Nothobranchius furzeri: one gene and its partner. The protein of the gene in region 2 purifies or fractionates together with the protein of the main gene of each other region. This does not show direct contact. Links are inferred from orthologs where the notes say so. Each region holds a gene or a part of one and is shown on either strand. Other genes may lie near its edges.

The links. Proteins that work in one complex are often made in the same cells at the same time.
Region 1: the proteins of ryk (region 2) and adgra3 purify together in Homo sapiens (affinity purification with mass spectrometry; 3 studies listed by BioGRID and IntAct, with this or other methods). This does not show direct contact. The link is inferred for Nothobranchius furzeri from reciprocal best matches to the Homo sapiens genes RYK and ADGRA3.

Annotation. Positions count from the first base shown.
Region 1 is NC_091742.1:70,968,295-70,972,413, forward strand, and holds the start of adgra3 (adhesion G protein-coupled receptor A3), read right to left. Parts: upstream 2,928-4,119; 5' UTR 2,208-2,927; coding exon 2,017-2,207; intron 1-2,016. UniProt on the Homo sapiens protein: Orphan receptor that may have a role in planar cell polarity pathway.
Region 2 is NC_091756.1:60,550,246-60,553,897, reverse strand, and holds part of ryk (tyrosine-protein kinase RYK), read right to left. Parts: coding exon 3,643-3,652; intron 3,553-3,642; coding exon 3,452-3,552; intron 1-3,451. UniProt on the Homo sapiens protein: May be a coreceptor along with FZD8 of Wnt proteins, such as WNT1, WNT3, WNT3A and WNT5A. Involved in neuron differentiation, axon guidance, corpus callosum establishment and neurite outgrowth.

The sequences.
Region 1 (4,119 bases), on a different chromosome or scaffold from region 2:
AACCAAATTAAATAATTAGCTGCGCGTTCTACTGTCCTATGGGCCACACACACACACACACACACACACACACACACACACACACACACACACACACACACACACACACACACACACACACACACACACACACACACACACACACACACACACGGGACTGTCTCAGCTGTTATTTTCGTTAAGGAGTGTGCACGTACCGCATGCACGCCTCATGCACGAGCCTACTATTGAAGCTGCCGTTACGCTTTTGGTCTGAGGGGGCAATAAAAATTCAAGACTCCGTAAAGTCCCTTTAAACCAAGGTCTATAGCTCTTGGGTCATAAACTATGAGCTATAAGTATATTGGTCTTTTTATACTGGGAATCAGGAGTTATTTTAGCGATCATCTTGTTTCTTATTTATTTTTGTCCTGATTATGCCCCGAGCAATTTATTGACAGAATAACAACAAATAAAATCAACATAAATTGAAAAATCGTCTTAAATAATCGAGATCTCAATTTCAGTCACAATAATCGTGATTATTATTTTTGCCATAATCGAGCAGCCCTACCTACAGTTGAAGTGGTAGCAGCTAATGCAGTGGCTTGGTAGCAGTGGATTGGTGAGACCGACAACCAGATGGTCCAATCGTTGGTTTCAGATCGAGCCGTGTTATTGGCTGAGGTTTTCAGACAAATGAGCACCACTCGTTTTTTTTTTATTGAAAACTAAATATTTATAGCTATATTATGTTAGAACGTTAAGAGGCATGAAAATATGTCTTAGCTAGCTTGTTCTGCAGATTTGCCATTGTAGCTTTAATTAGGACTGAAAGGTGCCCACATGAGTGATAAAAGAACTAAATTGCAAATAAAATAAAACAATCTTTTTAAAATATTTTGAGACAGCAGCAATTCAGTGTGATTCCAAGTGAAAATGAGCAGTAAGTGTTGAAATTTTTTGTCTGCAACGATTTGCCCAAGTTGTTCCCAGTGAAACTCGACTAACTACCAGATACATAATTTATTTTATCCACTTTAATGACAATACTTCAGGATCACAGCATTTACTTAATTCACTGCATGTTCAGCTCCACCCTGGTGGATTTTCATCTACACCTATGTGGCTTTTATTTAGATTAATCCTTGTTCCAGTAACTTATAACACTGAATTCCCTGCAGGAATGTAATTTTCGATTTTATTGGTTTTATGTAACTTTCAGAATAAGGCTAGGCTCAACAAGGATGTGCCTAACTTTTAACTGGCTCTACTAAAGAGATATCTTAAGATCTCCATAAATGAGTGTTTCTTCTTGGAAGCTCTATTGTCTATTTTTCTTCATTTTTAAGTGCTGAAGGTTATGGTGATAGCCTAGTGCCTATGTTTATTTAACTGTATTATATGTTTATATTTCTCCAAGTGCATGTGTTGCCTTAACAAGTGAATTTCCCCACTGTGGGACTAATACACTCATTTCTATTCTATTCTAAATAATAGTGAATATCGGCACAACATATTGGCCAACCATTGTATCTGGTCTATCTCTAGTTGGGTCCCTAAAAGTGGATTGCAATGCACAAAGCTGGGGTACTGGCATGGTCTCCCAGAGTAAAAACATAACTACAAATTATTCTTATTCAGCACAATTCATGCAAGAACCCAAACCAACACTCAGAAATAGATCTAAGCAGTACATTATATATATTTCAACATCCTCCTGTTCAATCATCTCTTCAGCCATATCTGTAGTCCAACCAGTGATGCTTGAGATCATAAGTCCTAGTCATTTGCTCTTTAAGGGGTCAGTAGCTATTTGGGAATCGCTTGAATTGATGTCAAAGTGGATAAATCTGAAGCGGACCTCTCGGATTTAAACTCCTGCAAGGCTTTATTTCTTGTTTTATAAACGCCGCGCAGATGCAGCTGTTGGGTTTACTCATCTTATTTGTAGTTGTTTACGACTGTAGTTATGGAGGACCGGCCGGAATGTGTTGTTTACATTGGTCGGAGGGAAATCTGCCGCGTAATACTCACAGGGTGACTGTTCTGTTGGGGAAGGAATCCGGGGCTAACACCTGTTCGAGCTCCATGTTGCTGCAGACCACTTTCCGGTCGGACGGCAGGCTTTTCCCGCTGCCTTTCGGCCGCTCGTCTGATGTTTTGCAGGCGGACTGAGCCGCGGAGCCGCTCAGCAGCAGCAGCAGCACCAGCCAGCACGTCCTCATTTTCACACAGAAAACGACTGCAGCATTTGCAAAAAACGAAGAACGGCGTGGTATCAATCCCGATGGTATAGTTAGTGGAAGGGCTCCAAGCGATGGAAAAGGGAAATCTCTGCCAGCGGTGTGATGTTTGGCTCAAGTGATCCTTCCTCTTCCATTTCTCTCACTCCGACCTTATTTGTTTCGCCAGGGGCTCATTTATAATTCCATCTCGGTGTGGCGTAGACCCAGCAACACTTAATAACCACGCACATTTAGTTTAAAAGGCTCAATTTGGTTGCTAGCTAGCATTCCCAGTCTTTGTTGCCCCTACTAGCTTGTGTCCAGGTCGCGTTGTTGTCTTTTCCACGGGAGTCGGCTGCAGTCATTCCAGGTTATCAGCTTCCAACTTCAGGAAATACCTTCTGGCGTCTTCTTGCTTACTTTAACTCCACTGTATTTTGGACTGCGAACTAAACCAAACAAATATATACCCGAGTACATTTATCCACCGACAGTCGCAGGAAATTACTTTAACAAAAAAGCCCGAAAACAAAAGAAATGTCCTAGCTAGTTCGGTAACGCTTCAAAATGTGAAAAATAAACAAAAGACGACGAATTTATATCCCGAATAGTTACTGTTGTAATGTAGTTGTCATTAAAATGTACTTAAAAGCATCTCAAAACTTGTCTAAAGTTAACTCCTCTAGTGGTCGTCCTCCTGTCCCCGGTGTTAAGCTGAATTGTGTCATTAAAGCTAGTTGGATCACAACCACATCCGGGTGGACTTTCAAAATAACACTGCTGAGATTTTATTTAATGTAACTGGAATACTATCAAAATAAAAGGCAATTCAGGGTTCTGTTTAGGTTTCAGACAACTGCAAAAACAAAACTGTAATTTTTAGCTTCAAATTTTTAAATAATGTGACAACCTTAAAGCAGTTTGTTTTAAAATCAAATTTAAAATACACGAATAAAACTAGATTTAATGGAAAAGTAAATACAAAAACGATCGATAAATGACCTACACTTTTAGAAGGTGCCTTTCAGAGTCAGAGGTCTCCAGTGTGTCACACTACAGTGTATCATTCATTCATTCACACAACTGGTGATGAGCTATACTGTAGCCACAGCTGCCCTGCATGAGGCACAATGACAGAGGCCAGGCTGCCAAGCACTGGTGCCACCGGCCCCTCTGAGCACCACTAGCAGGCAAGGTTAAGTGTCTTGCCCAAGGACACAACAGCAAAAATTTCAGCCAGGAGTCAGGATCAATCTTACAACCCCCCGATTATTGGACAACCCGCTCTACCTCCTGTGCTCCTGCTGTCCATAATATAAAGTCTGAGCAGTTACAGTAGAAAGAGCAGCATAAGCAACAATCCTTCAAAGGCAGATGACTAAAGTAAAGTTTTAAATTTAGATTTAAATTTAGTCACTAGAGCTGTGGTTTTTCTTTTATGATACATTTGTATAACCAAGCTCAAGGTGCAGTGATGAACGCTGCATGATATAGTGAGTTCAGTAAAAGAGAAGCATGCATGGGGACAATGTTACCATAGTCCAGCACAGAGAGGAATTGACTTTGCAGAATTTTCTCTCTGGCTGCAGAGGGCATGCATTCTTTGCAAACAAAAAACCCATTTTTTTAAAGGCACCTCTCCATGCCTTGTTTTAGAATAGAAGAAAACTAATCCTTTATTCTCCCACCCTCAGTGAGGAATTTTTTTATGTAACAGCAGCAACGTAGATTCACAACAAGAATAAAAAATAAAAAGATAAAAAACGTATACTAAATAAAAGACAATATATGTAAAATAAAAAATTAAAGGTTGAATAAAAATTCAATAGAAGGATCACGTTAGGAATTAGGAGTGAGAAAAAGTTTAAAAAAAAAAGTAGGAAATTACTGTATGACCAGGTTCAGTACCAAA
Region 2 (3,652 bases):
TACATCCATTAAAACAGGCATGCTTGTTTCCCCATCAGGGTTTGGGCTGAAAAAGAAAAGCTGCTGGGTGAAATAAAAAGGACAGGCATAGGGATGTTTGGGCTGGGGTAACTGGACACGCAAAGAGCAGGAAGAGTCACTGTGAATTTAGAACATCTCCAAATGACTCATCAAGACCAGGCTTCTCACATGGAGACGCATTACAGGATGCAACATGATTTATTGCTGTTGTTTACTCATTAGTAAATTAGGATCTATAGCAATAATCTGATGTGTGAGGCATGCCAGATTTGTGTGTGTGTGTGTGTGTGTGTGTGTGTGTGTGTGTGTGTGTGTGTGTGTGTTGTAACAAAGCTATTTTTAACACTAACTGATAACGAATGACCTGTTTGATTAAGTAGCACCAAGGTTATGATAGAAAGCCATTAAGCAAGTAGTACAGTACGGTAGTAAGGACATTCACACTTTCAAAGATCCCTGTGTGGACATCTGATTTTGTGTAAAAGTCTTGAGTAACCGCTTTCCAATCAGACACCACAGTGGTTATACCTGACAAACGAGCCACTCCAAAGCATAATGCTGTGTTTTAAAAATGGCTCCAGTCTTCGATAGATTTACAGTAATTCATAAAAACATGTTTCATAACTTTTACCCAGGTGTTCATCAATAAAACAGTCTAAACACCACATTCAATCATTTTTCCCCAACATGTGTGCATTGGTCTCTAGCAGAAGTGAATGACTTGTGAGTCCATCTCTGTGGGGGAAAAAGCTCCGGTGCCCCCGTTTCAGGAGGTAGAAGTGAGCTGAAGATGGAAGGATTTGGAGCCTTACTTCCTGATCATCTTACTTCTGATTGGGTTTTTCTCAGTTTCAGTATTTGTAAACTGTGAAGACGGGTGAGTCCTTGAATGCTGTGAACACAACTCTAAATGAGATGAATAGCAAGAGACTGTCAGCTGTTTGATTCGTTTCCAACAGCAGCTGAGCGGAGGAGCTGCCTGCTCCAGTGTACACTGGGACTTGTAGTTTTCGTGGTTTCTGGACATCTGTAGGTCAGATTTAATACACGTTCATCCTAATTGTTAAGTGAGGGACATGGGGCATGCAGGCCTGGAGAGCTGATAAGATTTATAAAACATTTTAACACAAGTCTCTACAAAACCCAGAACACAGGTGGTTCAGGAATCCATTTACACAGAAACACTCTTCAAAATGCCCTTTAAAGCAAAATACCTCTGCTGACAGCAAGTTATTTCCAGTGATGAGTGAGAAAAAAAATACATTTGAGTCCCTTTCACCTGCAACTAATCCAAACGCCAGCAGAGGGCAGCCTGAAGCTGCAAATGATGTTCAAGAAAAAGGAGGAAAAAAAAACAACTTCATTTCTCACTTGATCTGTGACCTCAGTTATCTGATGAGAGGCAGGTGAACTAATGAAGCATGATTCTGTTAGCAACAACCCTGTTTACACTGGAGGGGGGGGGGGGGGGGGCACTTTGTGGCTGACGGGCAACAACTCCTGCAGAAAGGATAACGGCACCAAAAGTTCCCAATAAGTTCCCCTGATAAACTCCCTGACATCGGTTATAAAACCAAAACGCTGACATTCAGGATTAAAAATGATCTTGAGGAAAAAGCAAATGATGTTCCAATTCATTTTACTTTGTGGTGAAGGTTATATTATTTTGTGTACAAACCAAACTGGTAATGACGGGGTAGGATCGTATACGCTTATACTCAGGGTCCGAAATTAAATGTTTTACTCACCGGCCAAGTTGGCCGGTAGATGATGAAAATCTACCTGCCAAGCATATTTTTTACCGGTCAAAATCCTAAATGATTTAGATCTACCTAAAGCATGTAATTCTATATTATGTTGATTCCAAACAGAGTGACAAAATAATTAAAACATCAATTAATAAGAAAAACAACTATTTTGTCATTTTTACTATTTATTTATTTATTTTTAGAGATGTTTTTATGAACTCTTTCATTGAAATCTAGTCAGACTCCTTGTTTTCTCTGTCCATGAAGTCTGGCCTCCTGCTTCTGACACCGTCTTTGTGCCAAAGCATTACAGCCTCATTTGGGTCCTAGTCCTTGATCTCTGGAGAACACAGCTGCACCATGAGAACATCTGAAAGTGTGTCAGGGCTAGGGTTGCCACGGTAACCGGTGTAGCGGTAAACCCCGGTAAAAAAGTTGACAATAATAATAACCGTCTTGTTTTTAAAAAAAATATATATATTATCTCGGTGGATTACCGTGGCTGCGGTGTAGGCGCGATGACCCTTACCAGCCACCGTATCATCTGGAAGTTGCCGGCGGCACATGCGCACTTTGTTGTTTACGACCAAAACTTTCTTTAAGCTAAAGCTGAAATAATGGCAGGAGGAGACGGCAGCACTCGGGACATTTATTATCCCTCAAAGAAGACAAATTCGGAAGTACGGGCATTTTTTGGATATTTGAAGAATGCCGAGGGACAGTTGTCTGTGAAAGGCAGCAACGCTACGTGGCCATCATAATGTAGCCATTGTCTCACGACTCCGCCATCTCCAGTTCGCCACTTTTCACAAAATCTTCTGGTTGCCACTGGTCCTGGTGGCTTTTCTTCCAGTTCGACGAGTTTTCCTTTGGAAGGCTGGCTGACTCCAGTTAAAAACCGCCACATTTCACCGCTAGTTTTAACATGAAGCTAACTGCTAACTTGATAAACTGATTGAATGGGATAGGTGGAAATGACGTTGGATGCTGCGCTCACGTTTCGCGTACGTTTGTGTACGTTGCATGCAGCGGGAGGAGTATCAGAGATCCATGGAAGATGACTGATAAACATAACTAATTTGGTGCAAACATTTACTCGCCAAATGGAGCAATTTACTCGCATTTGGCGAGTGTTAATTTCGGACCCTGCTTATACTTCTCCCTACTCCCTTTTGGACACGTACATGGTAACGGTATAATATCTCCTTGAAGTGACTGGAGATGTGGACACAAAAGTGTCTAAAGTTTATGGCTTGCTTTGTTGGTGAGACCGAGGATGTGCATGTCACAAAATAAAATAAATAAATGAAAATGAAATGTTGCTCATATTTAGCTCCAAGCATAACTGTGTTACATGCTAACCTTTTCTAGGATTGCATCAAATTAGCGTTGATCACATCCACCCAGTTTCAGCATAGAAGACTGCTTTATTTAACATGAATTGCTGCCTGATGCAAAGCACATGGTGAAGTCATTCACTCATCGCCTAGACACTTAACGGGTCACAGGACCGGAGCAACTTCAAGAGCTGTGCTTCTTCTTACAGTCTTATGATACCAATACACCTAAATAGATTATTCAGTCATGTATGAGGCTCAAAAAAGCATCTGCAAGATGTGATTTAGCATCAGGTTTAATGGTTTTAACAAAAGTGAGAGTGGGAAGATAAAAAAAAGTCTTACTGGTGACGGAAGCTGCATTGTTAGGAGTGTCGGCCCTCAGGTACTGTGTGGTCTGTGTGGATGGTTGAGACAGACCCTGTGAACTTCCACTGTCGCTCACACTGACACACAACACACAGAACCAGAGAGAATCAGGAGCAGTTCACAGCTAATAAAAAAAAACGAACAACCAGACAAGAAATTGGTCCAACCTGTCTTCCA